Anolis sagrei: one gene and its partners. The protein of the gene in region 2 interacts with the protein of the main gene of each other region in a pairwise test. Links are inferred from orthologs where the notes say so. Each region holds a gene or a part of one and is shown on either strand. Other genes may lie near its edges.

Region 1 (7,846 bases), on a different chromosome or scaffold from region 2:
TCTTAAAAGGCAACCCCACGTAGAGTGCGTTGCAGTAATCTATTTGGGATGTAACAAGAGCGTGGACCACTGTGGCCATGTATTGTGTTCATCCATCGACTAAACTGTGGAGCTGTGTCTTGTGTTCTATATACTAAAAAAAATTATAAATCTCCCATAGTAGATGATCTCTGGTAAGAAGACATTTTTGGCTTAATTTAGTATCCACATTCGTTCCAAATTGGCTACAAAAAGATTAGCTAATGAAGGGGTTAATGGGCTGCCCATCGTCATAGACCCAAAGCACATGTAGTGAATATGAGAAAATCAAGAAAAAAATATTAGGCTAGATTGACATGCATTCACTTTATTGGATTACATGAAGAGAAATATGATTCCTAGGGGATTAAGTGTGGACAAAACCCTGGGGATGTTCCAAGGTGATAACCACTTTCATTAACAATTGGAACTCAATGTTGAACAAATGCTCCTTAGTCTTGATGGTTTTAAATATCCAGAAATCCAATTCACTTACAAAAGGAATATGAAAACAAATTACATTTACTTGTCATAATAATAAACAAGAGATTACTTTCCTTGATGTCACAGTGTACAAGACACAAACAACTTAAGGGTAAGGAATTACTGGAAAGCCACTGATAAGAATTCAGTCATGCACTTACGCCAGTTTCCATCATCATAGGCTAAAAACAAACCTTCCTTATTCTCAACTCATGAGACTAAAACACAATTCCAGCTCCCCCAAAGATCTGGATTGAGAAATTTGTACCTTTAAGAAGCAATTCAAAGATAGAGGTTATCCCTCCAAGATTCTAAATATAGCCATTCGGAAAGTTAATCATAGAGATAGAACTCACCTTTTAAAAGGTTCGCCAAAATCACCATGAAAAGAAACAAAATCTGGCTACCAAAAAACCCCAAAAAACACCAGAAAAACACCAGAATCAAGACAAGTAAATAAGGAACACCATTCAGAAGCAGGAGAACTCCAGACAACAAATAACCAAGTGCCAGTGAACACCTCCTAAACAGAGGATGCCTCCAGGCATAACAGCCAAGCTACCGCTATGCAAATGCCTTCACTGATTGACTTTGCAAACTTCATGGCTACTCAATAATATTCAAGCTTACTAATTGCAACATTCACACTTACTTCAGAAAGACAAGGGTTCTTTCTCCCACCCTGGACATTATTCCACAGGTGTGTGTGTGTGTATATGTATATGTATATGTATATAAAAAAATGTAATGTTCGTTTGTGGGATTAACAGAACTCAAAAACCAGTGGGTGAATTGACACCAACTGTGGACAGCATACACCTAACAACCCAATGTATGTCCTTCACTCAATTTTTTTTTGATTTTGTCATTTGGGAGTTGTACTTGTTGGGATTTATAGTTCACCTACAGTCAAAGAGCATTCTGAGCTCCACCAATGATGGGACTGAACCAAAGGTGACACACAGGACTCCCATGAGCAACAGAAAACACTAGAAGGGTTTGGTGGGCATTGACCTTGAGTTTTGGAGTTGTAGTTTACCTCCATCCAGAGACCACTATGGACTCAAACAATGATGGATTTGGACCAAACTTGGTACAAATACTCCAAATGCCCAAATATGAACACAGATGGCCTTTGGGGAAAATAGACCTTGACATTTGGGAGTTGTAGTTGCTGGGATTTATAGTTCACCTTCAATGAAAGAGCATTTTGAACCCCACCAACAACAGAATTGAACCAAACTTCCCACACAGAACCCCCATGACCAACAGAAAACACACTAAAACAGTGGATGTGGCTCTTAATGAGACATGCCGCATTATCACGGGGTGTCTGCGCTCTACACCACTGGAGAAATGACACTGCTTAGCTGGTATTGCACCACCTGACATCTGCTGGGAAGTAGCAGCCAATAGTAAAAGGACCAAGGCAGAGACATCTCCAGCTCGTCCCCTGTTTGGGTATCAGCCAGCACGTCAACGACTTAAATCAAGACATAGTTTTCTTAGATCTACTACACTCGCTGGAACATCTCAGCAAGCGAGAGTCCAAAAGTGGCAGGCCCAAACCCAGCACCTCAATCCGTGGGTGATACCAGATGAGAGACTCCCTCCTGGGCACATAGAGGACTGGGCGACTTGGAAGGCGCTGAACAGACTGAGCTCTGGCACCCCGAGATGCAGAGCCAACCTTCAGAAATGGGGCTACAAAGTTGAATCCACAGCATGCGAGTGTGGAGAAGAGCAAACCACAGACCACCTGCTGCAATGCAATCTGAGCCTTGCTACTTGCACAATGGAGGACCTTCTTGCGGCAACTCCAGAGGCACTCCATGTGGCCAGATACTGGTCAAAGGACATTTAATCAACTACCAAGTTTGCAAAATCTGTGGGTTTTTTTAATCTGTTTGTTTGTTTTGTTCTGTTAGAAATGTAATACAATGGGATGGTTGCTGATGACACGATAAATAAAAATCTTCTATCATATTAAAGTAAAGGTAGTCCAGTCATGTCTGACTCTGGGGTGTGGTGCTCATCTCCATTTCTAAGCCGAAGAGCCAGCGTTGTCCATAGACACCTCCAAGGTCATGTGGCCGGCATTGACTGTATGGAGTGCCGTTACCTTCCCGCCGGAGCGGTACCTATTGATCTACTCACATTTGCATGTTTTCGAACTGCTAGGTTGGCAGAAGCTAGGACTGACAGCGGAAGCTCACGCCGCTCCCCGGAATCAAACCTGCGACCTTTCGATCAACAAGCTCAGCAGCTCAGTGCTTTAACCCACTGCGCCACCGGGGGCTCCATATATATATTATCTTCTAACTTCTATCATATTAGTTATTATTATATTACTTGTAATAGTATTATATACCCAGCTGTGGCCACTTGGGGTGCTGTGTCCCTCCAGCCAGTTTCACATCTGCGCATGCGCTGCTGCTAGTTCGCCTCCACGCTGGGGTCTGTTTAGATTGGAAAAAGCCCTGCTGTTCCCACCACGGCCGCTGGGAGCGCTGTGACTTTCCTGCCAGTTTCCCTTCTGCGCCAGTTTCACCACGCCGGTGCTTGTTCGCCTATACCGTGGGGTAGATTGAGAAAAGCCCTGCAGCTCCCATTTCAGCCGCTGGGAGCGCTGTGACTTTCCTGCCAGTTTCCCTTCTGCGCTGGTTCGCCTTCACGCTATTTATTTATCGTGTCATCAGCAACCATTGTATTACAATTCTAACAGAGCAAAACAAACACACAAATTAAAAAGAAAAAGGAAAAAAACACACAGATTTTGCAAGCTTGGTAGTTGATTAGATGTCCTTTGACCAGTATCTGGCCACTTGGAGTGCCTCTGGGGTTGCCGCAAGAAGGTCCTCCATGGTGCATGTGGCAGGGCTCAGGTTGCATTGCAGCAGGTGGTCAGTGGTTTGCTCTTCTCCGCACCCGCATGCCGAGGATTCCACTTTGGCTCTGCATCTCGTGGTGCCAGAGCGCAGTCTGTTCAATGCCTTCCAAGTCGCCCAGTCCTCTATGTGCCCAGGGGGGAGTCTCTCATCTGGTATCACCCATGAATTGAGGTGCTTAGTTTGGGCCTGCCACTTTTGGACTCTCGCTTGCTGGGGTGTTCCAGCGAGTGTCTCTGTAGATCTAAGAAAACTATGTCTAGATTTAAGTCGTTGACGTGCTGGCTGATACCCAAACAGGGGATGAGCTGGAGATTTCACTGCCTTGGTCCTTTCACTATTGGCTGCCACTTCCCAGCAGATGTCAGGTGGTGCAATACCGGCTAAGCAGTGTAATTTCTCCAGTGGTGTGGGGCGCAGACACCCCGTGATAATGCGGCATGTCTCATTAAGAACCACATCTACCGTTTTAGTGTGGTGAGATGTGTTCCACACTGGGCATGCGTACTCAGCAGCAGATTAGCATAGCGCAAGGGCAGATGCAGGCATGTAGCCGGGGGGGGGGGGGGGGGGGGCTCGGGGGGCTTCAACCCCCCCCGAAATTCTCATGGTGGTTCGCGAAAAGGCCTTACTGGTGCATTATTTAAACTGTTATGTTTATTCATATCATGATCTGATCACCATACTCAATATATCCCATATGCATGGAGGAGGTATTGGGGTAATGATACAAAAGGTTTGCTAGGGTAGACCCTCTTTCACTCAGACTCAGCCCCCCCTGAAACTCAGCCCCCCCCGAACCCCCCCTGAAAAAAATTCACACACCCCCCCCAAATGAAATCCTGGCTACGGGCCTGGGCTGATGTCTTCACTGTGTCTGGTTGTGATCCCCAGGTTGTGCCAGTCAGCTTTCGTATGATGTTGTTTCTAGCGCCCACTTTTTGCTTGATGTTCAGGCAGTGCTTCTTGTAGGTCAGAGCACGGTCCAAAGTGACTCCCAGGTATTTGGGTGTGTTGCAATGCTCCAGTGGGATTCCTTCCCAGGTGATCCTCAGAGCTCGGGATGCTTGTCTGTTCTTAAGGTGAAAGGCGCATGTCTGTGTTTTATATGGATTAGGGATCAGTTGGTTGTCCCTGTAATAGGCAGTAAGAGCACCTAGAGCTTCGGAGAGCTTCTGTTCAACCATCTCAAAGCTCCTTGCTTGAGCGGTAATGGCACGATCATCAGCATAGATGAAACTCTCATTAAGAGCCTTCACGCTAGGGTCTGTTTAGTAAAAGCCCTGTCGTTCCCGCCGCGGCCGCTGGGAGCGCTGTGTCCCTCCTGCCTGTTTCCCTTCAGCGCATGCGCTGAAGCTACTCCGCTTCCACGCTGTGTTCTATTTAGATTGGGAAAAAAACCGCCATTCCTGCTTCGACCTTTTGAGGCGCTGTTTCTATTCCTCCAGCCACTTCCGGTTCCCCTCATCCTCCTCATTCGACGCTGGAGAGAACCATGGTGAGCCCCCTTTTTCTCACTTGGGGCCTTGGAACCCCCTTTGCCTCGCTTGAGGGCACCCTAAACTTCTGTGATACACGCAAGAATGGCCCCTTCACACGTTCACGGGCGAAGTTGCGTGTCACGAACTTGAGGCCTCTCCCATTGAACTCTATGGGAAGGGGGGAGGAGTCAACGCATATTCATTATTAGCCATTTGTTATTGTTTATGATTTGCACGATTGTTATGCTCCTATTAATAGCACTGTGATGGTTCTTATTACTTCTATTATTTCTATTATCATGATGACTGCTATTAATACTTCTGTTGTTATTATTCCTACCTTTATTGTTAGTATGAATTCTGCTGCCAGATTATTCCCTTTGTTATTATTAGCAGTTATGATTCTGATTAATCTAACTGCTATTAATACTGTTATGGTTATAATTCCTATATTGTTGGTATTAATGCTGCTATATTATTCCTATTATTATTATTACCAGTATTATTATTTTTTATTGCTATCAGTACTGCTATTGTATTGTCGAAGGCTTTCATGGCCGGAATCACTGGGTTGTTGTAGGTTTTTTCGGGCTGTATGGCCATGTTCTAGAGGCATTTTCTCCTGACGTTTCGCCTGCATCTATGGCAAGCATCCTCAGAGGTAGTGAGGTCTGTTGGAACTAGGAAAAAGAGTTTATATATCTAGGTTATTGTGGGTTTTTTCGGGCTATAGAGCCATGTTCTAGAGGCATTCTCTCCTGACGTTTCGCCTGCATCTATGGCAAGCATCCTCAGAGGTAGTGAGGTCTGTTGGAACTAGGAAAAAGAGTTTATATATCTAGGTTATTGTGGGTTTTTTCAGGCTATAGAGCCATGTTCTAGAGGCATTCTCTCCTGACGTTTCGCCTGCATCTATGGCAAGCATCCTCAGAGGTAGTGAGGTCTGTTGGAAATAGGAAAAAGGGTTTATATATCTAGGTTCTTGTGGGTTTTTTCAGGCTATAGAGCCATGTTCTAGAGGCATTCTCTCCTGACGTTTCGCCTGCATCTATGGCAAGCATCCTCAGAGGTAGTGTGGTCTGTTGGAACTAGGAAAAAGAGTTTATATATCTAGGTTCTTGTGGGTTTTTTTCGGGCTATATGGCCATGTTCTAGAGGCATTCTCTCCTGACGTTTCGCCTGCATCTATGGCAAGCATCCTCAGAGGTAGTGAGGTCTGTAGGAACTAGGAAAAAGGGTTTATATATCTAGGTTCTTGTGGGTTTTTTCGAGCTATAGGGCCATGTTCTAAAGGCATTTCTCCTGACGTTTCGCCTGCATCTATGGCAAGCATCCTCAGAGGTAGTGAGAATGCCTGACTACCTCTGAGGATGCTTGCCATAGATGCAGGCGAAACGTCAGGAGAAAAATTGCCTCCAGAACATGGCTCTATAGCCCGAAAAAACCCACAAGAACCTAGTGATTCCAGCCATGAAAGCCTTCGACAATACATTGAACATCTCTACGGTTTATATATCTGTGGAATGATCAGGGTGAGACAAAGGAGACAAAGCTCCAGCAGACAAGAGTCCTTTGTCTCACCCTGGTCATTCCACAGATATATAAACCCCTTTTTCCTAGTTCCAACAGACCTCACTACCTCTGAGGATGCTTGCCATAGATGCAGGCGAAACGTCAGGAGAGAATGCCTCTAGAACATGGCCATACAGCCCAAAACAACCTACAACAACCCAGTACTGTTATTGCTATCATTCTTATATTTATTGTTGAAGTTAACACTGCTGTCGTATTATTATTATTATTATTATTATTGGTGTTATTATTATTATTGTTATTATTGCTATTAGTGCTGCTGTTTTGAGATGGTTTTAAACATCTGATTTAAAGTAGATGTAACTGTTTTTAGTGTTTGTGTATATTTATAGTTATTTTATGTTCCGGCATGGAATGCTTGTCGATAATATGGTGAGTCCCCTTCGGGGTGAGAAGACGGAATATAAATGTAATCAATAATAAATATAGAAATAATAACAGTAGCAGCACTAATAGCATTAGGAATATAATAATTGTAACACTGATAATAATAGTCATACTTAATAATGGATAGTAATGGATGGCACTTGGCCTCTCTTCCAACTCTAGGATTGTATGATTTTATCCATCGTACATAACCATCCATCCATTTGTTTATTTTAGGAACGGATGGACCTTGAGCTCTTTTCCAACTCTAGGATTCTGTGATATTATTAGTCCATCTTTCTGTCCGTCCTTCCATCCATCTATCTCTCCATCCATCCTTCCATCTATCCATCCATCTGTCTAACCATCCATTTTAGGACTTGATGACTCTTGAGCTGTGTTCCAACTCTAGGATTGTATGATTCTGTCTGTCTATCTATCTATTTATCTATCTATCAGGGTTGGACTGGGTAGCCCTTGGGCTCTTTTCCAACTGTAGGATTTTGTGATTTTATCTGTCCATCCATCTGTCCATCTTAGGACTTGATGACTCTTGAGCTGTGTTCCAACTCGATGATTGTATGATTCTTTCTGTCTGTCTGTCTATCTAGTTTTCTATCAGGGTTGGACTGGATGGCCCTTGGGCTCTTTTCCAACTGTAGGATTCTGTGATTCCAACTGTAGATGCATGGATGGCTCTCTCCATCCATGCATCCAGCCATCTCTCCATCTATCCCTCCATCCTTTAATCTGTCCAACCATCTTAGGACTTAATGGCTCTAGGATTGTTTGATTCTCTCTATCTACGAGGTTGGACTGGATGGCCCTTGGGCTCTTTTCCAACTGTAGGATTCTGTGATTCCAACTGTAGATGCATGGATGGCTCTCTCCATCCATGCATCCAGCCATCTCTCCATCTATCCCTCCATCCATCTATCCCTCCATCCTTTAATCTGTCCAACCATCTTAGGACTTAATGGCTCTAGGATTGTTTGATTCTCTCTGTCTACGAGGTTG
Region 2 (7,203 bases):
GGGCGAAACGTCAGGAGAGAATGCTTCTGGAACATAGCCATACAGTCCGGAAAACCCACCACTACCCATCAAGGAAGCAAACAAGAGCCCCCTTCGCCCACCTTGAACTGCTGGTCTCTGTAGCAGCTGATCTCGCAGTACGAGTCGCTGTTGAGGCCGCTGAGAGTCGTGCTGAGGATGCTCGACATCTTGGGCCGCCGGTGATGGCGTCACTGGCCCTCCACCCGCCGTCGCAAAGAACACGGAGGAACCCATTGGCTCTCGCCGCTGTCGCTCAAAGCAAGCGCCCACCTTCGGTGACGTCACACCCAAGGGGGCGTTTCGCCTCACTTGCGAGGGGGCGGGGGAAGGGAGAGTAGGAGGGAGGTGTGTTTTCTCTCTGATTGGCCCGCGCGATAAAGTGGGCGGGGCGACGTTTAGGCGGGATTCTTATTAAACAGCTTCTTTCAAGGAGATGCCTCCATGTTGTTTTACCTCAGCCTGATCTGAGGTAATCCTGTACAGGAGCGCTTCAGTCAGAAAGTGGTTTAAATTTTAACATATGTATTTACAACACAACACACACAGAGGATTGTGTTAAAAAGGAGGTTATTTCCCCACCATCTGCTGAAAATCCCCTTTTTGGCCTTCACAACCACGAAATACACAACTCTCATTCGCTCTAGTAAACCAAATACTAATACAAAAGGGTTCAATGGGAAGTTTAAAAATATCCTTGATAGAGAAATACATAGTGTAAATGGAATAAAAAATAAACCTCAAATGTTAACAGAATTTCAGTCAGGAAATGCCTCAAAGCCCTGACTGAGTTAACCCAATTGACATAAATGCAAGAGCTACAACAACCATTTGCCAGCAAATATGGAAAACACAAGAATGGCCATCAGACTGGAAAAAATACACTTATATCCCCATACCAAAAAAGGAAAATGCGAAAGACTGCTCAAACTTCCGTACAGTGGCCCTTATTTCTCATGCCAGTAAGGTAATGCTCAAGATCCTGCAAGGAAGACTCCAGCAATACATGGAGAGAGAGTTGCCAGATGTTCAAGCTGGGTTTAGAAAAGGCAGAGGAACGAGAGACCAGATTGCCAATATCCGCTGGATAATGGAGAAAGGCAGGGAGTTTCAGAAAAACATCTACTTCTGCTTCATTGACTATTCTAAAGCCTTTGACTGTGTGGATCATAATAAATTGTGGCAAGTTCTTGGTGGGATGGGCATACCAAGCCACCTTGTCTCTCTCCTGAGGAATCTGTACAAGGACCAAGTCGCAACAGTCAGAACTGACCACGGAACAACAGACTGGTTCAAGATTAGGAAAGGCGTACGGCAAGGCTGCATACTCTCACCCAACCTTTTTAACTTGTATGCAGAACACATCATGCGATATGCGGGGCTTGATGAATGCAAAGCTGGGGTGAAAATTGCTGGAAGAAACATTAACAACCTCAGATATGCAGATGACACCACTCTGATGGCCGAAAGCGAGGAGGAGCTGAGGAGCCTTCTAATCAAGGTGAAAGAAGAAAGCGCAAAAGCCGGGTTGCAGCTAAACGTCAAAAAAACCAAGATTATGGCAACAAGAATGATTGACAACTGGAAAATAGAGGGAGAAACCGTGGAGGCCGTGACAGACTTTGTATTTCTAGGTGCAAAGATTACTGCAGATGCAGACTGTGGCCAGGAAATCAGAAGACGCTTCCTTCTTGGGAGGAGAGCAATGTCCAGTCTCGATAAAATAGTAAAGAGTAGAGACATCAGACTGGCAACAAAGATCCATTGCCTAGTCAAAGCCTTGGTATTCCCTGTAGTAACCTACGGATGTGAGAGCTGGACCTTAGGGAAGGCTGAGCGAAGGAAGATCGATGCTTTTGAGCTGTGGTGTTGGAGGAAAGTGCTGAGAGTGCCTTGGACTGCGAGAAGATCCAACCAGTCCATCCTCCAGGAAATAAAGCCCAACTGCTCACTGGAGGGAAAGATACTAGAGACAAAGTTGAAGTACTTTGGCCACATCATGAGGAGACAGGAAAGCCTAGAGAAGACAATTATGCTGGGGAAAGTGGAAGGCAAAAGGAAGAGGGGCCGACCAAGGGCAAGATGGATGGATGGCATCCTTGAAGTGACTGGACTGACCTTGAGGGAGCTGGGGGTGGTAACGGCCGACAGGGAGCTCTGGCGTAGGCTGGTCCATGAGGTCACGAAGAGTCGGAGACGACTGAACGAATGAACAACAACACAACAACCATTATAAAATGGAGGATTTCTGCATTGTTATTCACACAGATACAGAGTCGACATTATACATACATACATACATATATATATATATACACACACACACACACTTTTATGTCCACCCATCATTGTTTAGAACACTATTTATTTACTTATTTACTTCATTTATATACTGCTTTTCTCAGCCCTCAGGCAACTCAAAGCGGTTAACAACAGCAAAACTCAATGCAAAACATCATAAAACAATTATGGGACAGTTAAAACAATAGCATCATCAACAGTTAAACATCAATATAACAATCATTAGCGTCTCCCACTCCCCCAATGAAACAATTGATTCATTTGTTTCTGAAACAATGTCTATTGCACTTCAAAACATACAGAAATGTGACAAAATGGCAAAAGAAACCAAAAACAAGCATTTGATCCAATTGACATAAAATTGTAGCAAGATGGGATTGGCAACTCCACTCAAATAATGATAATTTCTTCTTCAAAATGCATGCATTTGCTTTGTCTTCAAAATAATTATCATAGCGACTATTTGCTATTGAAGGCTGCATTGTTTTGTGTCTCTGTATGGTCATTGAATATATACATATATATATATATTTATATATATTCACACATATGTGTGTGTATATATATATATATATCTCTCTAACAGGGAGGCGGGTAATACATTCATTATTATTATTATCTAGCAAAGAGAGGTAGATAACAAATGCATTATTATTATATCTATAGCAGGGAGAGTTGGATAATAAATGTATTATTATAATATCTATATATCTAGCTGGGAGAAGCAAGTAATACATTCATTTATTCTTATTTTTATTATTATTATATCAATATTTAGCTGGGAGAGGCAGATAACAAATTTATTACTATTATTGTTTACTATTATTTCTATATATCTTGGAGGGAGAGGCAGATAACACATTCATTATTATTATTATTATTATTATTATATCTATAGCAGGAAGAGGCAAGCAATAAAGTCACAATTATAATATCTATATATCTAACAGAGAGAGGCAGGTAACAAATTTATTATTATTATATCTAGATCTATAACTAGCAGGAAGAGACAGTTAATAAATTTATTATTGTTATTATAATTATATTATCTATATCTAGCAGGGAGAGGTAGGTAACAAATGCATTATTATTATTATATCTGTACCTATTAGGAAGAGGCAGGTAGCTTTTTTATTAATACTATTATTAATATTATTATATTTATATATCTAGCAGGGAGAGGCAGGGAATAAATTCATTATTATTGTTGTTATAGCTATATATCTAGAAGGAAGAGGTGGGTAATAAATGCATTCTTCTTATTATTATTTTATCTATATCTAGTAGGGAGAGGCGGGTAACAAATTCATCGTCGTCGTCGTCGTCATTATATCTATATCAAGTAGGTAAAGGCAGCAATAAATTCATTATTATTATTATTGTATCTAGTAGAGAGATGATGATTATGATGATAATAATCATCATCATTATTACTGTATTATTATATCTATATCTATGGAGCTTCATATGTGAAGAAACCTATGTTGTTGAAATATTTATCTTCTGCCTTCAACCCTTTTATGAGTCTTGCCAAAACAGCTGCCTAATTCAACATTAACAGAGAAAAACAAATTAATTAAAATTACTTTAGAGATGTCTTTGGAAAGATAATAATAATAATAATAATAATAATAATAATAATAATAATAATGATAATATATTTGCTTTGTTACTGGCCTCTTCTCATGAGCCAAAGTTACATAGTTAAAATAAAAAACATAAGGTCGTTAAAATACAGATATGAAATGGCAAAGGGTACAATCAAGAACAGTAGGCAAAACAAGTGGATAAACATGCTAATGTTATTTCTTTTTCATTTCAAAGGTGTTCCTTTTGCGAATCGAATCCTGAAGAGGAAAACAGATCATGGAAATCAAAGGTGCAAAATATCAAATACTTTCTGTTCTGCATATGAATGTGGCAAGAAATCTGTGAGAGGGGGGTCGGGAAACTCCAAAGTATAATTATTACTTTAATTAGAGAGTCTATTTTTGTATGAAACAAAGAAAGCAAAGAGGATCAGCCGCAAAAAAATGAATATTGGGTGACAGGATATATTATTATCTCTTCTCACCGAATGCACTTTGCAAGGAAACAGAACACTTCGGTTACACTGAATTTGATGCAGTTGTCGCACACTCATTGTAGTATTGTAGTTCATGACTTGTGGTAACTTTTATCCAGCACAAAGTGTTTCAGGAACAAAAAAAACCCTCATTCTTCATCAGGTTCGAGTCTAAAAATCTCACATTTTCCATTCCCACTTATTCTTCCTGATCTCTTGCTGGCTCCTTAAAACATCTGTGTTATATTTGAATAGAGAATGATGATAGGAAGAACATGACGTATCATTCACCATCAACAAATGACAACAACCGTCATGTCAGAAAGCTCAGAAGCTGAAGCTTTGGACCCAGATTCACTGTCTGTGTCTCTTTATGACAAAAGAAAACCAAACGTGTCACAAAAAAGATGGAAAAAGCTCCGGGAACATAATTTTGAGTAAAGTTGGAGAATGGTAGCATTAATTATCACAAAGTTGTGATCAAAGTTTATTTAATACTATTATTATTATTATTATTATTATTATTCGCCTTTCTTCATGGCTCGAGGTGCATTACAACATAGCTAAAAACATATAAACATCTTAATCATTCTATAAAATACACATATTAAAACACTTAATTTGTATGTAGAGTTCTAAGTTTTATAGGGTTTGTTATTACATCGAACCACAAGGAGAAGCGGGTAAGAAATAAATTATTATTATTATTATTATTAGATGCATAACAAGAATGGTACACAGCAAACGAGATCACTATGCTGGCTTTTGTATTTGATCACATGTACAACACTTCCCAAGTGTCTAAGACTGTGTGATGTATTGCCAAATAATGCGCGCAGATCCGAGTAGGGTGACCTTTTGCAGCTGACAGATGGTAATTTTGTCAGTGCCAATTGTTTTTAAATGCAGGCCAAGGTCTTTAGGCACTGCACCCAGTGTGCCAATCACCACTGGGATCACCTTTACTGGCTTGTGCCAGAGTCGTTGTCGCCATTGTCGTCGTCTTCTTCTTCTTCTTCTTCTTCTTCTTCTTCTTCTTCCTCTTCTTCTTCTTCCTCTTCTTCTCCTTCTCCTTCTCCTTCTCCTTCTCCTCCTCCTCCTCCTCCTCCTCCTCCTCCTCCTCCTCCTCCTCACTTATAAAGCATAGGATCCACATGAAAATGTCATTATTCCCTCATTGATAAATGGCAAATTCCCCAAGATTTGTTCTTCCTCTTCCTCCTTGTCTTTATCTTCTTCTTCGTGTGAATACTATTGTCGTTATCACTATTGATATTATTTATATTGTTATTATTTTAACAATTTCTTCCTTAGTACTTCAGCTATCTTTTTGTCCTTTTGGTTTCCTCTTGCATTGTGTTCATGTCCTTTGGAAGCTTGTTTAGACCAATATATTCATGGCCTTTGAGTGTTCCTCCATCTGAATAAATAGGAGCTTGCTTTTGGAATAATAATAATTATATGTCAAAAGGAGGGTATCAGGGTTTTAGAGAGGCTTAGGAGGGACAGGGCCACAAAAATTGTTGTGAACCATTGCTCAAAGCCATGTTCTACAATTTTTTTAAAAGGCTCATAGTATAGCATTGATCATTAATATGTTTTAATATTAAATGATGAAAAGTTGGGATACCTTAAATTTTTCAGATTTTCTAGGTACGGTACTTAACCCTAGAATGTCCAAGTCTTCATGCAACGTGTTTCCTTTTAAAGGTTTCTTTTGTTGTTTCCTCCAATGTGCTTGGTTTCTTGTTTGTTTCCTGTTTGTTTTGAAAGTTAGAAAATGTAAACAGGCTGGTTTGTTTGAAAATGATACATTGCCTTGAAAGCTACTGTATAACTTACTTTGGCTTTTGTTGTTGCTTTTAATTGCAGAGCTCATTGAAAAACTGATGAGCAGCAAAGCCTCATCTGATGTACAAGAAGACACTGAGAAGCTGTTCAGGGATATAGAACAAGTGAATAAAAAAAGTATAAATGAGAGGGAGAAGGCCCAGGTACAAATAGTACAAACATTGGTAAAGATCTCTGAATGTGAGCATGGCGATGAATGAATGTTTATATGTGTTTGAATACTGAGGAAATGTAATTTCCCTTTTTGTACCAAGTTAGCTATAGAATCTGCATGTGTCTACCTTCTTTCTTTGTAGTATACTCTGTCTCATTGTGAATGAAAGGAAATAACCTTTTGAATGCTTCTTAAAGTTTTTAAAAAAGTATTTGTGACATGGTATAGACACACCCTTGCTGTGTAGATTCTAACCACACAGAATGAGGGAAATGGCTTTTTCTCTTGGTTATTTGGTGAAATATTGAATGCCATACTTTCCTTTCAATATGCTTTAAAACCTTTCAGAAAAATAAAACTGGTTCTGAAAAGCAACTGAATAATGAGGTTTTTCTGGTGAGATCAGCTCGCCCACCTCCTTCCTGTCCTTCAGAAGGATAGTAAAAATTGGTTGTGGACCCAGTTTTCAGGACAGTGCAATAAAGCAGGGACAGGAAACCTTACCAGGCCAATTAGATTAGACACAGATGATCAAGACGGTTTTAAACAGTGTATTTTAATATTGAGACAAATGTTTTTAATGTTTATGTATGCCTATAATGAATTAATGTCCCAGTATTGAATGTTTGCCGTTTGTATGTTGTGCTCCGCCCTGAGTTCCCTTCGGGGTGAGAAGGGCAGAATATAAATGTTGTAAATAAATAAATAAACGATTCAGTGCCCCGTTATTATTGTTATTGTTATTATTAATAGTGTTATTCACTTCTCCTCGAGGTTCGAGGTTGGGTACATCATTGCAAAAATACAAAGATAA
Region 3 (7,438 bases), on a different chromosome or scaffold from region 2:
GTGGTTGTTTTGATAGAGCTATCTGAACAAATGTTTTGCAAGGCTAGGGCAGATAAAGATCCTTGTTTAAAGCCACAGAAAAGTAGCCTAGGAATATAGAGCGAGGGGGGGGGGTCCCCCCTCATTGAGTCCAAAAGAATGTGCAAACCCTCCCAAAATACTTTAGGGGGCACGTAGCACAATTTTCCATTTCCCTTTCTTTCTCAGCTGTTTTAAACCCAACTGACTTCTGACTCACTTAATATTGAAGAGATTATATACTAGCTTGGGGACCTGGCAATGCTCCAGTTATTCAAAAAAGTATTGTTTGTTTTGGGGTTTTAGGTAATATCACTTTGCAGGCCCGTAGCCAGGATTTTGATTGGGGGGGGGGGGGGAGAGTGAGTTTGATTCGGGGGGCTGAGTCTGAGTGAAAGAGGGTCTACCCTAGCAAACCTTTTGTATCATTACCCCAATACTCCCATGCATATGGGATATATTGAGCATGGTGATCAGATCATGATATGAATAAACATAACAGTTTAAATAATGTACCAGTAAGGCCGCTTTTGTTTGTTATGAATGCTCCCATTAGAAAATTCATAAGTGGGTGAACTACAATTCCCAAAATCATGGGTCTATCCTTCCCAAACTCCAACAGTATTCATAGTTAGCCATGTTGGGTCTGTGTGCCAAATTTGGTCGAGATCCAACATTGGCTGGGTTCAGTGCTCTCTGGATTAGGGTGAACTACAACTCCCAGATCCAAGGTCAATCACACCCTAACCCTGCCTGTATGAACAGTTGGCCATGTTGAATCTGCGTGCCAAGTTTGTTCCAGATCTGATGTCAGCTGGGGGTTCAGTGTGTTCTCTCACTGCAGGGTAAACTACAACTCCCACTATGGTGAGTCAGTCCCCTTAAACCCTCCCAGTAGGTCTGGCCAAGTTTGGTCCAGATTAGTCATTGGCGGAGGTCACAGTTTCTCTGGTTGTGGGTGAACTACTACTTCCAGAAAGGAAGGTTAGTTCCCCCCGCCCCTAAACCCCTCCAGTAATCAAATTTCGGCATATGAGGTATGTGTGCCAAGGTTGGTCCAGATCCACCAGTGTTTGAGTTCACAGTGCTCTCTGGATGTAGGTGAACTTCAACTCCCCCAAATCAAGGTGAATTTTCCCCCAAGACCTCCAGTATGTTTGCTGGTCATTGGGGCTCTATGCGCCAAGTTTAATCCAATTCCATTTTGGTGGAGTTCAGAGTGCTCATAGATTGCAGGTGAACTATAAACCCCAGTACCTACAACTCTAAACAGTCCAGGCCAGTTCCCCTCAAAACTCACCAGTATTCAAATTTGGGCATATCAGGTATGCATGCCAAGTTTGGCTCAGATCTATATGTGTTTGAGTTTATAGTGCACTCTGGATGTAAGTGAACTACAACTCCCAGAACTCCCTCCAAAGACCTCCAGTGTTTTTTATTGATCATGGGGGTTCTGTGTGCCAAGTTTGTTCCAGTTCTATCGTTGGTAGGGTTCAGACTGCAGTTCTTAGATTGCAGGTGAACTATGCATCCCAGTACCTACAATTCCTATAAGTCATAGTGCATTCTCCCCAAACCTCTCTAGTATGTTCAGTTGCTGATCGATTCCTCTGTTTTCTGTGTGCCATAGAAAAGAATAGGAAAGGGTTAAGGGAGAGGCAGTGGGTGGGGTTAAGCAAATTTCACACCATTGGTGAGAGTAAGAAACACTAGGATGCCTGTGGTGGAGGAAACACATCAAAACTAGGGTGAATTAGTCCCTGAATGAAAGCTTTTACTTGGGTGGTGGGAAGTGTGGTTTTGGTGAAGGACATTGGCAGGGCTCTTGCACATTTTCATGGTACTCGTTGTAACCTGTAATGTTATTGGAGGAAGGCCTATTGGTATCTCCTGTATAGTGACAGCAATAGCTGTTTGTGGAGGTGGGAGCTTGTCTGTGTAAGGGGACACCCCAGTCACATACACACATGCATATTTTCAGTTTTATTGTGTCTAGATAGATAGAGTAAAATAATAAAATCCATAGAATAACAGATAATTGAATGCCTTTCCTGCCAATGAATACTATTGGCAGGAAAGGCTTTCAATTATGTGTTATTCTATGGATTTTATGTTGCTGGCTATATTTCAGAGGAAGGTAGTAGCAAAACTACCACTGGGTATCCCTTGCCTAAGAAAATCCATAGAGTCACCATGAGTTGACAGATGACTTGAAAGTATATAAGGACACAGTCACAAGACACTACTGGGATTTTAAAAAAATCTAATGGCAGAAAAAGAGGAAGCAGAAAGACACGCTCTATCCTTCCTACAAAGAGAGTTTCAGCCACCAAGAAGATCCTCACACTGTGCTTATCATACCTGGTGGTGGATTTATATTTGGGGACAAATGCTACCCTCAAAACAATGATCAAGAGATAGTACATAGATCCTTCATTGGCAGCTGGAGAAGTGGTTTCACTGATTGTGAGGCATTCCAAAAAAATAAAAAGCTTGAAAATGTGTGTCAGCCATCCTTAAATCCTAGAGGTGAGTGCTTCATTTATTCAGAAATACTGCAGATAGCATCAACTGAGGCCTGAGCTATGCAAGGGTTTTAAAAATGTTGCCATTGGCACTCTATAAATGCAATGTTGCATCCTTTAGTTCCCAGCTAATCACTTGGAAAAATGGAGATACACACATTCCTGTGTCAGCCATGCACTTTGGTTGGGTAAAGCCGTGCTTCTGTCAGGAAGACTAATCTCCAATTTAGTACATAGAAGAAACTGAGCAAAAAAAAAGTGTCACTTTCATGTAGCAGAATAAAAAATCTAATCATTGGAGCCTCCGGTGGTGCAGTGGGTTAAACTGCTGAGCTGCTGAACTTGCTTATCGAAAGGTCGCAGGTTCGAATCCGGGGAGCGGTGTGAGCTCCCACTGTTAGCCCTGGTTTCTGCCAACCTAGAAAACATGCAAATGTGAGTAGATCAATAGGTACCGCTCTGGCGGGAAGGTAACAGTGCTCCATGCAGTCATGCTGGCCACATGACCTTGGAGGCATCTACGGACAATGCCAGCTCTTCAGCTTAGAATTGAAGTGAGCACCAACCCCCAGAGTTGGATATGACTGGACTTAATGTCATGGGGAAACTTTTACCTTTACCTTCTAATATCTACCTTACAGAAAAGTTGGATTTTGCATGGAATAATTTCAGGACATTTCCTTGGGTTGTTTATTGGGAAGGTTTGTGGGGTTATTTTGGGTGCTGATTCAGAAAATTGCATTGGATGGACCACAACAAATCTAGATTATTAAATATGGTTTTCTGTGGGTGAGCAGATGGCAACTACTGGATAGCATATATTCTGTATCAGAAATTAGAGCTGATGTGGTCTATCCAATACAATTTTCTGAATTAGTGCCTCAAATAATCCCACAAAGTTGACCAAAAACTGATTCAGTCTTTTGGTACTAATGTTGGAGGGCGGTCCCTGGCCAAAGTAATCCCTGGTCAAAATGGTCCCTGGTCAAAGTGGTCCCTGGTCCAAGTAGTGGTCCCTGGTCATAGTGGTCCCTGGTCCAAGTAGTGGTCCCTGGTCATAGTGGTCCCTGGTTAAAATGGTTCCTGGTCAAAGTGGTCCCTGATCAGAGTGGTCCTTGGTCAAAGTGATCCCTGGTCAAAATGGTCCTTGGTCAAAGTGGTCCCTGGTCCAAGTAGTGGTCCCTGGTCATAGTGGTCCCTCGTTACAATGGTTCCTGGTCAAAGTGGTTCCTGGTTAAAATGGCTCCTGGTCAAAGTGGTCCCTGGTCAGAGTGGTCTTTGGTCAAAGTGATCCCTGGTCAAAATGGCCCCTGCTTCAAAGTGGTTCCTGGTCAAAGTGGTCCCTGGTCTAAGTGGTCCCTGGTCAAAGGTCAAAGTGGTCCCTGGTCAAAGTGGTCCCTGGTCAATGTGCTCTCTGGTCCCTGATCAAAGTAGTTCCTGATCAAAGTGGTTCCTGGTCAAAAAAAAAGGTTGGAAACCACTGATACAGAGGGATGAGTTCTACTTTCATTTCAGTCTGAAGAAAGCCAATGAGGCAGCTGGAAAGAAGAAAGAGAGGCGTTTTAAAGTAAGCTAGGAAAGTAAGATTGCAAAGCATTAAGCAGGATTGCTCCTCCTAAACTAGAGAAGAGTAGGCTGGGACCAACTCGTCAAGTCTGGATCTCTCCCCCCGCCCCCGCTTTCCAAAGCGACCCTCCAAAGTGGGAATTGGGGGCGGTTTCGCGGACTCCATCCCCTCTTCCTTCCCTCCCTCCCTCCCCCGCCATTCCTGGCTCTTTCCCCTCCTTCCCTCGCTTCTTTCCTTCCCAGCCGCGCAGGAAAGGGAAGGCGAAGCGAGGAGGCGACCAATAGCCAAGGCGAGAGGAGGGGCTCCAACCGGGGATCGCCCTCCTCCTCCTCCTCCTCCTCCAAGAGGGAGATCCAGCGAGGGGAAGGCGATGGAGCCCGAGGGCGGCGGCGACGTGGCGGGGGACTCGGCTGCCCCGCTGCTCCTGGACTTGGACGACGACGAGGACCTGGAAGTATTCAGCAAGGTATTCACTAGGGGAATGAGAAAGGGGGTCGCAGGTCTGCGTGGGCTTTCCACTCCCGTTTGGGAAGAAACAGGCGCCTGGAGTGCCCTACGGGGAAGCAGGAGAGTCTCTCCGCCCGTGGAGCTTTTCCACGCCTAGCCATGGGGGCGAAATGGCTCTGCCCTCGTTCCCAGCATCGCCAAGGAGCTCCTCCTTGAAGATCCCGCACCCCTGTGCCTTAAGCTTCCTCTGGACACGAAAACACACAAACAAACCTAGAGTTCCCCCTCCGTCTGCGGGACAGAAGTTTCCCAAGCGCTTCAAAATCCGCCTGCCTCGGCACGCCTTCCTCGTTGCTTTTCTCTGTCTGTGGCTTTCCCTCGCCTGTCGATTTAGGGCAAGTCTTTCATAGACTCCTCAACTTGGAAGAGACCGCAAGAGAAAGGCCGGTCCACCCCCATTCTGCCAGGCAGGAAGACACCACCAAAGCACGCCCCACACAACCTGCTTTTCAAAACAGCCGAAGACAGGTTCAAAGGCAGTGCATTCCACTGTCAAACACCTCCATGCGGAAGTCCTTCCCAACGTTTAGGGAGAATCTCTTTCCCTGCAGTGTGAATCAATTCCTCCCTTCCCTAGTTTCAACAGCAGCAGAAAATAAGCTTGCCCCTTCCAAGCTTATTAAAGTGCCCATAGGGTTTTCTTGTGTGTGTGTGTGTGTGGGCCTCCAGTCATCTGATGATGATGATGATGATGACAACGATGACGATGACTCTGGCACAAGCCAGCAAAGGTGGTCCCAGTGGTGATCAGCACACTGGGTGCACTGCCTAAAGACCTTGGCTTGCACTTAAGCACAATAGGCACTGACAAAATTACCAGCTGCCAGCTGCAAAAGGCCACCTTAGTGGGATCTGCACACATTATTCACCAATACATCACACAGTCCTAGACACTTGGGAAGTGTCCGACGTGTGATCCAATGCAACAGCCAACAGAGTGTCTGCTGTGGACTCATCTTGTTGTGTTTCAAATAATAATCTATATATATATAAATGCTCTGTGCATAATGAGTACCTTAAAAACAAAACAAAAAACAATGAACGAAATCACACCTAATTTTGCAACAAAACATCTCACAATACAAGGAGTGACCATCACTCAAAAACTTATGATTTTGTCATTTGGGAGTTGTATTTGCTGGGATTTATAGTTCACCTACAATCAAAGGGCATTCTGAACTCCACTAACGATGGAATTGAACCAAACTTGGCACACAGGACTTCCAAGACCAACAGAAAACACTAGAAAGTTTTGGTGGGCATTGACCTTGAGTTTGAGAGTTGTAGTTCACCTACATCCAGAGAACACTTTGGACTCAAACAATGACGGGTCTGGACCAAACTGGGCATGAATGTTCTATATGTCCAAATATGAACACAGATGAAGTTTGGGGGAAATAGACCTTGATATTTGGGAGTTGTAGTTACTGGGATTTATAGTTCACCTACAATCAAAGAGCATTCTGAACCCCACCAACGACCGAATTGTGGCAAACTTCCCACACAGAACCTCCATGACCAACAGAAAATACTTAAGGCCATCCAGTCCAACTCCCTTCACCAGGGCAAGAAGACATAATCAAAGCACTCCTGACAGCCATCCAGCCATACATATACATAGATATATATGATTCACACACACACACACACACAGATATAGTATCATAGATTTGAAAGGGACCCCTAAAGAAGGACAATGATATGTTGCATGTTCCAGAGTAGGCAAACCAGACAATCTTCACATCAACACTGACAAAGAAACAACAAGAAATACTGTTTACTCACAAGCATATAGAAATTACATATATTAGAATCCAACACTTTCTCATTACTTTATTTTCCAGATCATCAAACTGGGCCACGGCAACGCGTGGCAGGGGACAGCTAGTAATAATAATAATAATGACTTACTTTCGTATCACAAAATAACAAGCTGAACACTTCCCAAGCATTTCGGACTGTGTGATATATTTTCAAATGATATGCACAGATCCAAGTAAGGTGGCCTTTTGCAGTTGACAGATCATGATTTTGTCAATGTTTATTGTTTCCAAATGCCAACTGAGATCTCGAAATCCAGCATATATATCTCGTTTGTTGTGTCATACTATATTTTTGTGTCAGTAAAATAATGGTTTACTACACCTGGAATACTGTGTCCAATTCTGGGCATCACAATTGATGAGAGATATTAACAAGCTGGAATGTGTCCAGAGGAGGGCGACTAAATTGATCAAGGGTCTGGAGAACAAGCCCTATGAGGAGCGACTTAAAGAGCTGGGCATATTTAGCCTGCAGAAGAGAAGACTGAGAGGAGACATGATGAGAGATAATATGTGAGAGGAGGTCATAGGGTGGAGAGAGAAAGCTTGTCTTCTGCTGCCCTGGAGACTGGGACACAGAACAATGGCTTCAAATGACAGGAAAGCAGATTCCACCTGAACATTAGGAAGATCTTCCTGACTGTGAGAGCTGTTCAGCAGTGGAACTCTTTGCCCCGAAGTCTGGTGGAGGCTCCTTCTTTGGGGGCTTTTAAACAGAGGCTGGATGGCTATCTATTGGGGGGGGGGGGGGGCTTTGAATGCGATTGTCCTGCTTCTTGGCAAGGGACTGGATGACCCATGAAGTCTCTTCCAACTCGATGATTCTATTTGTAGTGTGCTCATGGCTGAGGGCGGACGCACCAGCTTGGTGTACAGCTTTCCCTGGCTGGGATACAACCCTGGAGAGCAGAAGTTTGCACCACAGTCTGTGAGCATTGTTAGACATCCACCTCTGTCCACAAGCTCAATATGAGCAGGCTGGCCAAAAGCCATGGCTT
Region 4 (7,387 bases), on a different chromosome or scaffold from region 2:
TTCTAATAACTTTAGTATTCACCGGTGTAGCTTTCCTATTTTATCTATCACCCTGGCTTTATTCTTAACAATTGTATTAACTGTGGAGCGAGGTACGCCTAGTTTGCGGCCCATGTCACTCATGGACATGCTTCCCTCACCAAGTTTGATTAGGTCTAGCTTTTCTTGCAAATTGAGAACTCTATGGGATCTTTTAGCTTTATCACTGCCCTTAGCTGCCATGATGTATTCTAATACTGTAAGAGACTCACTGGCCATGATGTCAAAAGCAGCACAGGCTGAATAGAGAGTGAAGGAATACTACCCACCTCATAGGCACTGATTGAATGAGCAAAAATGGCATAGAGGGAAATAGTATCAAACAGCACTTGATCTGTTGTAAGCAAGTCTCGCTTAAACACCTTTCTCCCTCTTTTAGCTTATTTTGTAAGTAACTCATGCAAACAGCTGATGCTTATACATACAAATAGTTCAAAGCAACCTCCATAGTTGCATTGAACTGTTTGTGAGAACACTGCTTTTTAAACTGTGGGTCCCAACCCCAAATGAGAACCCTTGAGTTCAATGTTGAGGTCACAAAAAATGGCAACCGGAAAACGTTCCTGAATACCATTTAGACAAATCTGTTAGCATCAATGTATAGTGTTTGCAGCAGGCTGCAGAAAACGCTTCAGCTTGTTTAGAAAGCCTTGCAAGTGCTGATTGCAAATGCGTAGAAGAGGCATGGATCCTTTAGTTGTTGGGGGGAAATGAAGCTCTGAGCACTTCAGGAAATGCCAAATGGTTGGCCATGGAGCATCAAGAAGCCAGCGGCACCACAGAAACATTTGGGAAGTGTGTGGCATTGCACTGCAGCGGCTTCAGGATGCAAGGAGTGGAACAAGCCAAAGTCCAGCTAATGGCTAAACTCCAGTGGCCACCAAAGTGCAAGAGGGAAAAGAATGCTTGCAAAAGTAGTGTGTCCTGCTGAGGCTTCCAGCCAACTCCTTTCCTGGTCCAACCTCTTTGCTGCTTGGCCTCTCACAAACTTGTTCAGAATTACAGTAAACAAATGCGTCTGCACTCGCTCATCCCTTTTTGGTTCATTCCGGCTTTTTATTCCACAGATATATAACCTACACATCAAAAAGTGGGGTATTGTATGTACAGCTATACCTCCCTTTAGACTGCTAACATATACCAGGTCCCTTGGGCTATATTTCTCAGGAAGGAACTGGCAAAAGCACCTGTGAGGTCCCTTCCATACAGCTGTATAAAATCCCAATTGAACAGTGTGGATTCTGATACCCAGTTCAAAGCAGATATTGTGGATTAAGTGCTGTAATAATCTGGATTATATGGCAATGTAGAAGGGGTCTGAATCTCCTTGTGGGTGTGAGTATTCCTTGCTTAAGAAAAAACCCCATGAAATTCATGATGTGGTCGTAAGTCGACAGACAACTTGAAGGTAAATATACTTGAGTGTTTTGTGAGACTTTCCACTTGTAAATTCCCCATGTTTTTCCACTTCTACTCCTTCTTCTGTATTTCTTCTTGCAAAAGTCTGTGGGCTTTTCCACACAGCCCTTTATCCCAGGATATCAAGACAGAAAATCCCACATTATCAGAGTGTGGACTCAGATAACCCAGTTCAAAGCAGATATTGCAGATAATCCACAATATATGCCCTGGGTTATCTGAGTTTACACTGCCACATAATCCAGTTCAATGTGGATTTTATACAGTTGTGTGGAAGGGGCCTACGATAATCCAGCTCAAAGCATCAACTGCTGCTCTGGGCCAGAATGAAGAGAGAGGGGACCAGGGGACAGTTCCATCTTGTCTCCTGCATATGTCATCAGTTGGGAACCCCTCCTCCCAACACCAACTGCTGCTCTGGGCCAGAGAGAGGGGGCCAGGGGCCAGCTCCACCTTGTCTCCTGTACTATGCTTATAATATAATGTAATATAATGTAATATAATATATTGTATATACATATAATATTTATATTATAATGTAATGCAATGCAATATATGATAATAATATGATATTATAATTATATATTTATATGACATGTAATATTACAAATGATATTACAATATAATGGTATAGTACAATATAGTAATATTTAATACTGATATTGTACTGCGAGGAGGAGCTGAGGAGCCTTCTAACCAAGGTGAAAGAAAGCGCAAAAGCTGGGTTGCGGCTAAACATTAAAAAAAACCAAGATTGCAGCAACAAGAATGATTGATAACTGAGAAATAGAGGGAGAAAACGTGGAGGCCGTGACAGACTTTGTATTTCTAGGTGCAAAGCTGACTGCAGATGCAGACTGCAGCCAGGAAATCAGGAGATGCTTACTTCTTGGGAGGAGCGCAATGACCAATCTCAATAAAATAATGAAGAGTAGAGACATCACACTGGCAACAAAGATCCACATAGTTAAAGCAATGGCATTCCCCATAGTCACCTACGGATGTGAGAGCTGGACTTTAGGGAAGGCTGAGCGAAGGAAGATAGATGCTTTTGAACTGTGATGTTGGAGGAAAGTTCTGAGAGTGTCTTGGACCACCAGAAGATCCAACCAGTCCATACTTCAGGAAATAAAGCCTGACTGCTCATTGGAGGGAAAGATATTAGAGGCAAAGATGAAGTACTTTGGCCACATAATGAGAAGACAGGAAAGCTTAGAGAAGACAATTATGTTGGGAAAATGGAAGGAAAAAGGAAGAGGGGCCAACCAAGGGCAAGATGGATGGATGGTATCCTTGAAGTGACTGGCTTGACTTTGAAGGAGCTGGGGGTGGTGATGGCCAACAGGGAGCTCTGGCGTGGGCTGGTCCATGAGGTCACGAGGAGTCGGAAATGAATGAACGAATGAACAACAACAATATATATGCTCTGTGCATAATGAGTACCTTAAAAACAAAAGAACTAATGAACAAAATCACACCAAATTTGGCAACAAAATGTCTTACAACACAAGGAGTGACCATCACTCAAAACATTATGATTTTGTCATTTGAGAGTTGTAGTTGCTGGGATTTATAGTTCACCTATAATCATAGAGCATTCTGAACTCCACTAACGATGAAATTGAACCAAACTTGGCACACAGGACTCCCCTGACCAACAGAAAACACCAGAAGAGTTTGAGAGTTGTAGTTCACCTACATCTAGAGAGCACTGTGGACTCAAACTGTGATGGATCTGGACCAAACTTGGCACGAATACGCAATATGCCCAAATATAAACACAGATGGAGTTTGAGGGAAATAGACCTTGACCTTTGGGAGTTGTAGTTACTGGGATTTATAGTTCACCTACAATCAAAGAGCATTCTGAACCCCACTAACGACAGAATTGGGACAAACCTCCCACACAGAACCCCCACGACCAACAGAAAATACTTAAGGCCATCCAGTCCAACTCCTTTCACCAGGGCAAGAAAACGTAATCAAAGCCCTCCTGACAAAGACCCATCCAGCCATAGATAGGACATAGTTCTTTTAAAATTTTTATTTTGCACTGCCTTTATGTTTAAATGCACTTTAATGTTTTTGCTTTATTAATGTATGTATTTATGGCATCAAAGTGTGCCGACTGTGTATACCGCCCTGAGTCGCCTCTGGGCTGATATAGGCGGGATAGAAACAATGTAAATAAATAAATAATAGATATATGACTCTCTCTCACACAGATATAGTATAATAGATTCGAAAGGGATCCTTAAAGAAGGACAATTATATGTTGCATGTTCCAGAGTAGGCAAATCAGACACTCTCCACATCAACACTGTTTACCCACAAGCATAACGAAATTACATATATTAGAAACCAACTTTCTCATTACTTTATTTTCCAGATCACCAGACTGGGCCACAGCAACGCGTGGCTGGGGACAGCTAGTATGATATATTGCATGTATATATACCTTGTAAGCCGCTTTGAGTTCCCTTCAGGGTGAGAAGGGCGGCATATAAATGTCGCAAATAAATAAATAAATAATGTGGATTTTTTGTTTTGCTAACGTGAATTACCTGGCAGTGAAGAAGGGGCCTAAGAGCTCCTTAAGTTTTGAAACCTGCAGCTGCCTTGGTTTACCTCAGTACAACCTCACAGGAGTTCAGAGAGTCACACAGTACTTCTAAATGAGCATGCACGGTATTATTTTGAGAAGTTTCCTCGGCTCAGCTCACACACGAACAACTTTCCCTTGTAACTCGAATCCAAAAGGCGAGTTTCCTCCTTCTTTCTTCTTTAGCGGGATGCAGGACTCTGCCGAAACTACGTTTCCCAGAGAGCAACGGGAGAGGCGCGAGCCGCCCGGCCTACGTCAGAGGCGCCAGGAGCCAATCGCGTGGCGGCCGAAGCCGGAGCGTCATCCGCCAATGTTGTTTTCGCTGAGTCGAGCCGCTGGTGTCGTTGGCGGTGCCGGCGCCATATTGGAAGGGACGAGGCGGTGGTTGGCGTTTTTTTTTCCCTTTCACCCCACCCAAAACTCCCCTCTTCGCTCGCCGCTGAAACAACCGAGACCCTCTTAAGCCACGGGCCTCTCCGCCGCCGCCGCCACCATGCTGTACTTGGAGGACTACCTCGAAAGTGAGTCGTTGGAAGCGAGGGAGGGAGGGGGGCGCTAGGCCCGAAGAAGGGAGGGGCGAGAGAGAGAGAGCGCGGAGGGAGCGTAGGCTCCGCCCCTCGCTCCGCCCCCTCTATTCTTCCCTGCCTTGACTGACTCGCTCTTTCTCCCCTCCCTCCCCGCAGTGATTGAACAACTTCCCATGGATCTCCGCGACAGGTTCACCGAGATGCGCGAGATGGACCTGCAGGTGCAGAGTACGTGAGCGGGCTCCGCCCACTGTCCGCCATGCGTGTTGATTGACGTGGTGTGGGCGGCGCTTAATCCTAGTTCCTCTCCCCCCGCCCTTCTCTTATGCAAAAGGGAAAGCTGAGCCTGGAGCGAGTGTTTTCCAGAGTAACCATTAAGTCAGCTCTATTGGAGTCTCTGTGTATTTATTGTTTATCTTGTCAGAAGTGAATTGAAAACACAGTTATAATGTATATAAAAAAAAACACAAACAAAGTTTTAAAAAACCGCAACATAGTTAAACACAGAATTTAAAATAAACACAAAAGCTTGGCATTATACAAAATTTCCCTGGCCACTTGGAGTGCCTCTGGTGTCTCTGTTAAGGGATCCTCCAGTGTGCATTTGGCAGCACTCAGACTGCATTGTAGTAGGTGATTTCTTCTCCATCCTTGCATGTTGTGGACTCCACTTCATAGCCCCATTTCTTTTTCCCCCATGTCTTTTTTTTATTGCCGAAACAGGTAGAATAACATCACAATCCACCAACATTTTTAAATATTGAAATACATAATGAATACATATCACATATTGTTTCATAGTGATCTTATCAATCCCATCTTTACCTCTCCCTTGTGTCTAATGATTTTACACCCCTCACCTCCTTCCCCCACCTCCAGGAAACAGTACTTAGCCCCATTTCCTAAGGTTGGCTCTGCATCTCATGGTGCCAGAGCAGGATCCGTTCAGTGCCTTCCAAGTCACCCAGTCTTCTGTGTGCTCAGGAGGGAGTTTCTTACTCAATTCCAGCCACTGATTGAAGTTCTCAGTTTTAACCTGCCACTTTTGGACTCTCACATGCTGAAGTGTTATAGAATCAGAGTTGGAAGAGACCTCATGGGCCATCCAGTCCATCTCCCTGCCAAGAAGCAGAAAAAATTGCATTCAAAGCACACCGAGAGAGTATCTCTATAGATCTTAGAAAACGATTGTTAGGCATCAATTAGCTGCCTAGTTGTAAGCTGTTTTGAGTCACCTTCAGGTTCGAGAAAGGCAGGATAGAAATTTCATAAATAAATAAATAAATATTTCTTTATTTAATTCGTTGGCATGCTGGCTAATATCCAAGCAGAGAATGGGCCTTGGTCCTTTCATTGATGGCTGCTGCTTCCCAACGGATATCAAGTGGTGCAGTGGTGCAGTATAATTTATCCAGCGGTATAATTTATCCAGCGGTATTGGGCATAAACTTCCTGTGATAATGTGGCATGTCTCATTAAGAGCCACCTCCACTATTTTAACTTGGTGAGATGTATTCCACACTGGGCATGCGTATTCAGCAGCAGAGTAGCAAAGCGCAAGAGCAGATGTCTTCACTGTATCTAATTGTGATCCTCAAGTTGTGCCAGATTTCGTATGATATTATTTCTAGCACCCACTTTTTGCTTGATAGTCTGGCAGTGCTTCTTATAAGTCAGAACACAGTCCAGAATGACTCCCTGGTATTTTTGTATGCTGCAGTGCTCCAATGGGATTCCTTTTCAGACAGTTCTCAGAGCTCGAGATGCTTGTCTGTTCTTAAGATGAAAAGTACATGTCTGCATTTTGGATGAATTAGGAATCAGATGGTTTTCCCTGTAATAAGCAGTAAGAGCACCTAAAGCTTTGAAGAGCTGTTCAACCATTTCAAAGTGCCCTGCTTGAGCAGTGGCATGATCGTCAGCATAGATGAAATTCTCTGTCCCTTCTGCAGTCGCTGATGATTAGTGTAAATGTTAAACATTGATGGAGTAAGCACACTCCCCTGAGGCAAGTTGTTCTCTCTGTTAATATATCTTGAGTATTCCTTATCCGAAATGCTTGGGACAAGCAAATGTCCTGGGATTTGGATTATTTTGGAATCCCTGTATACATATGTATATGTAATGAGAAATTTTGGAAATAGGACTCAAGTCTAAATAAACACTGAATTTTTTTAGACATTATACCCACATAGCCTGAAGATAATTTTATGCACAGTGTTTAAAATATTTTGTGCTGAAACCAAATTTATGTACATTGAAATGTATGTACATTTATGTTCGAAAGCACAAGTATCACTATCTCAGCCACCCAGGTGGACAATTTTGAACTTATCCCTCAAAACCAGAAGTGTCTCGGATTTCAGATTATTTTGGAACACCTGTGTGTACCTAATGAGATATCTTAGATATGGAACTGAAGTCTAAACACAAAATTCATTTATTTATAACATTTTAAATTTTAAATAATTAAATAAAATGTGTGTACAGCTCAGAATCTCAGCTATTCATGTAGACAGGGAGGGGAATAGAAAAATTAACAGCACCTTTAAGGTGAACTGGTTTTTATTTTAATATTACCGTAGCTTTTGTAGATATCTCACATCTTTTCAGTTTTACATCTGAAGAGTTGATTGATATCCATGAACAGTCATGCTAAAATAAAAGTCTTGTAAATACTACTAGGTTTTTCCATTTCCCCCCTTTTCCTTTTTTAATTCATTTAGAAAGTGGGCATTGTCTAGGTTATATTATTACCAAATACAAATCATGAGTCTTAGCACTTACAAGTATGTAA

The links.
Region 1: the proteins of TEX11 (region 2) and ZNF414 interact in binary tests that used the Homo sapiens proteins (3 or more experiments, as listed by UniProt). The two-hybrid records come from large-scale screens. The link is inferred for Anolis sagrei from reciprocal best matches to the Homo sapiens genes TEX11 and ZNF414.
Region 3: the proteins of TEX11 (region 2) and SNX7 interact in binary tests that used the Homo sapiens proteins (3 or more experiments, as listed by UniProt). The two-hybrid records come from large-scale screens. The link is inferred for Anolis sagrei from reciprocal best matches to the Homo sapiens genes TEX11 and SNX7.
Region 4: the proteins of TEX11 (region 2) and ING3 interact in a two-hybrid assay, tested with the Homo sapiens proteins (2 studies listed by BioGRID). The two-hybrid records come from large-scale screens. The link is inferred for Anolis sagrei from reciprocal best matches to the Homo sapiens genes TEX11 and ING3.

The regions. Positions count from the first base shown.
Region 1 is NC_090034.1:58,245,175-58,253,020, reverse strand, and holds the start of ZNF414 (zinc finger protein 414), read left to right. Parts: upstream 1-4,827; 5' UTR 4,828-4,884; coding exon 4,885-4,887; intron 4,888-7,846. UniProt on the Homo sapiens protein: May be involved in transcriptional regulation.
Region 2 is NC_090030.1:21,732,829-21,740,031, reverse strand, and holds the start of TEX11 (testis-expressed protein 11), read left to right. Parts: upstream 1-4,185; coding exon 4,186-4,198; intron 4,199-6,256; coding exon 6,257-6,378; intron 6,379-7,203. Other genes in the region: nuclear cap-binding protein subunit 2, read right to left, coding at 102-188. UniProt on the Homo sapiens protein: Regulator of crossing-over during meiosis. Involved in initiation and/or maintenance of chromosome synapsis and formation of crossovers.
Region 3 is NC_090024.1:149,071,799-149,079,236, forward strand, and holds the start of SNX7 (sorting nexin-7), read left to right. Parts: upstream 1-4,426; 5' UTR 4,427-4,480; coding exon 4,481-4,576; intron 4,577-7,438. UniProt on the Homo sapiens protein: Involved in the regulation of endocytosis and in several stages of intracellular trafficking. Together with SNX4, involved in autophagosome assembly by regulating trafficking and recycling of phospholipid scramblase ATG9A.
Region 4 is NC_090025.1:128,895,952-128,903,338, reverse strand, and holds the start of ING3 (inhibitor of growth protein 3), read left to right. Parts: upstream 1-4,364; 5' UTR 4,365-4,556; coding exon 4,557-4,584; intron 4,585-4,746; coding exon 4,747-4,818; intron 4,819-7,387. UniProt on the Homo sapiens protein: Component of the NuA4 histone acetyltransferase (HAT) complex which is involved in transcriptional activation of select genes principally by acetylation of nucleosomal histones H4 and H2A.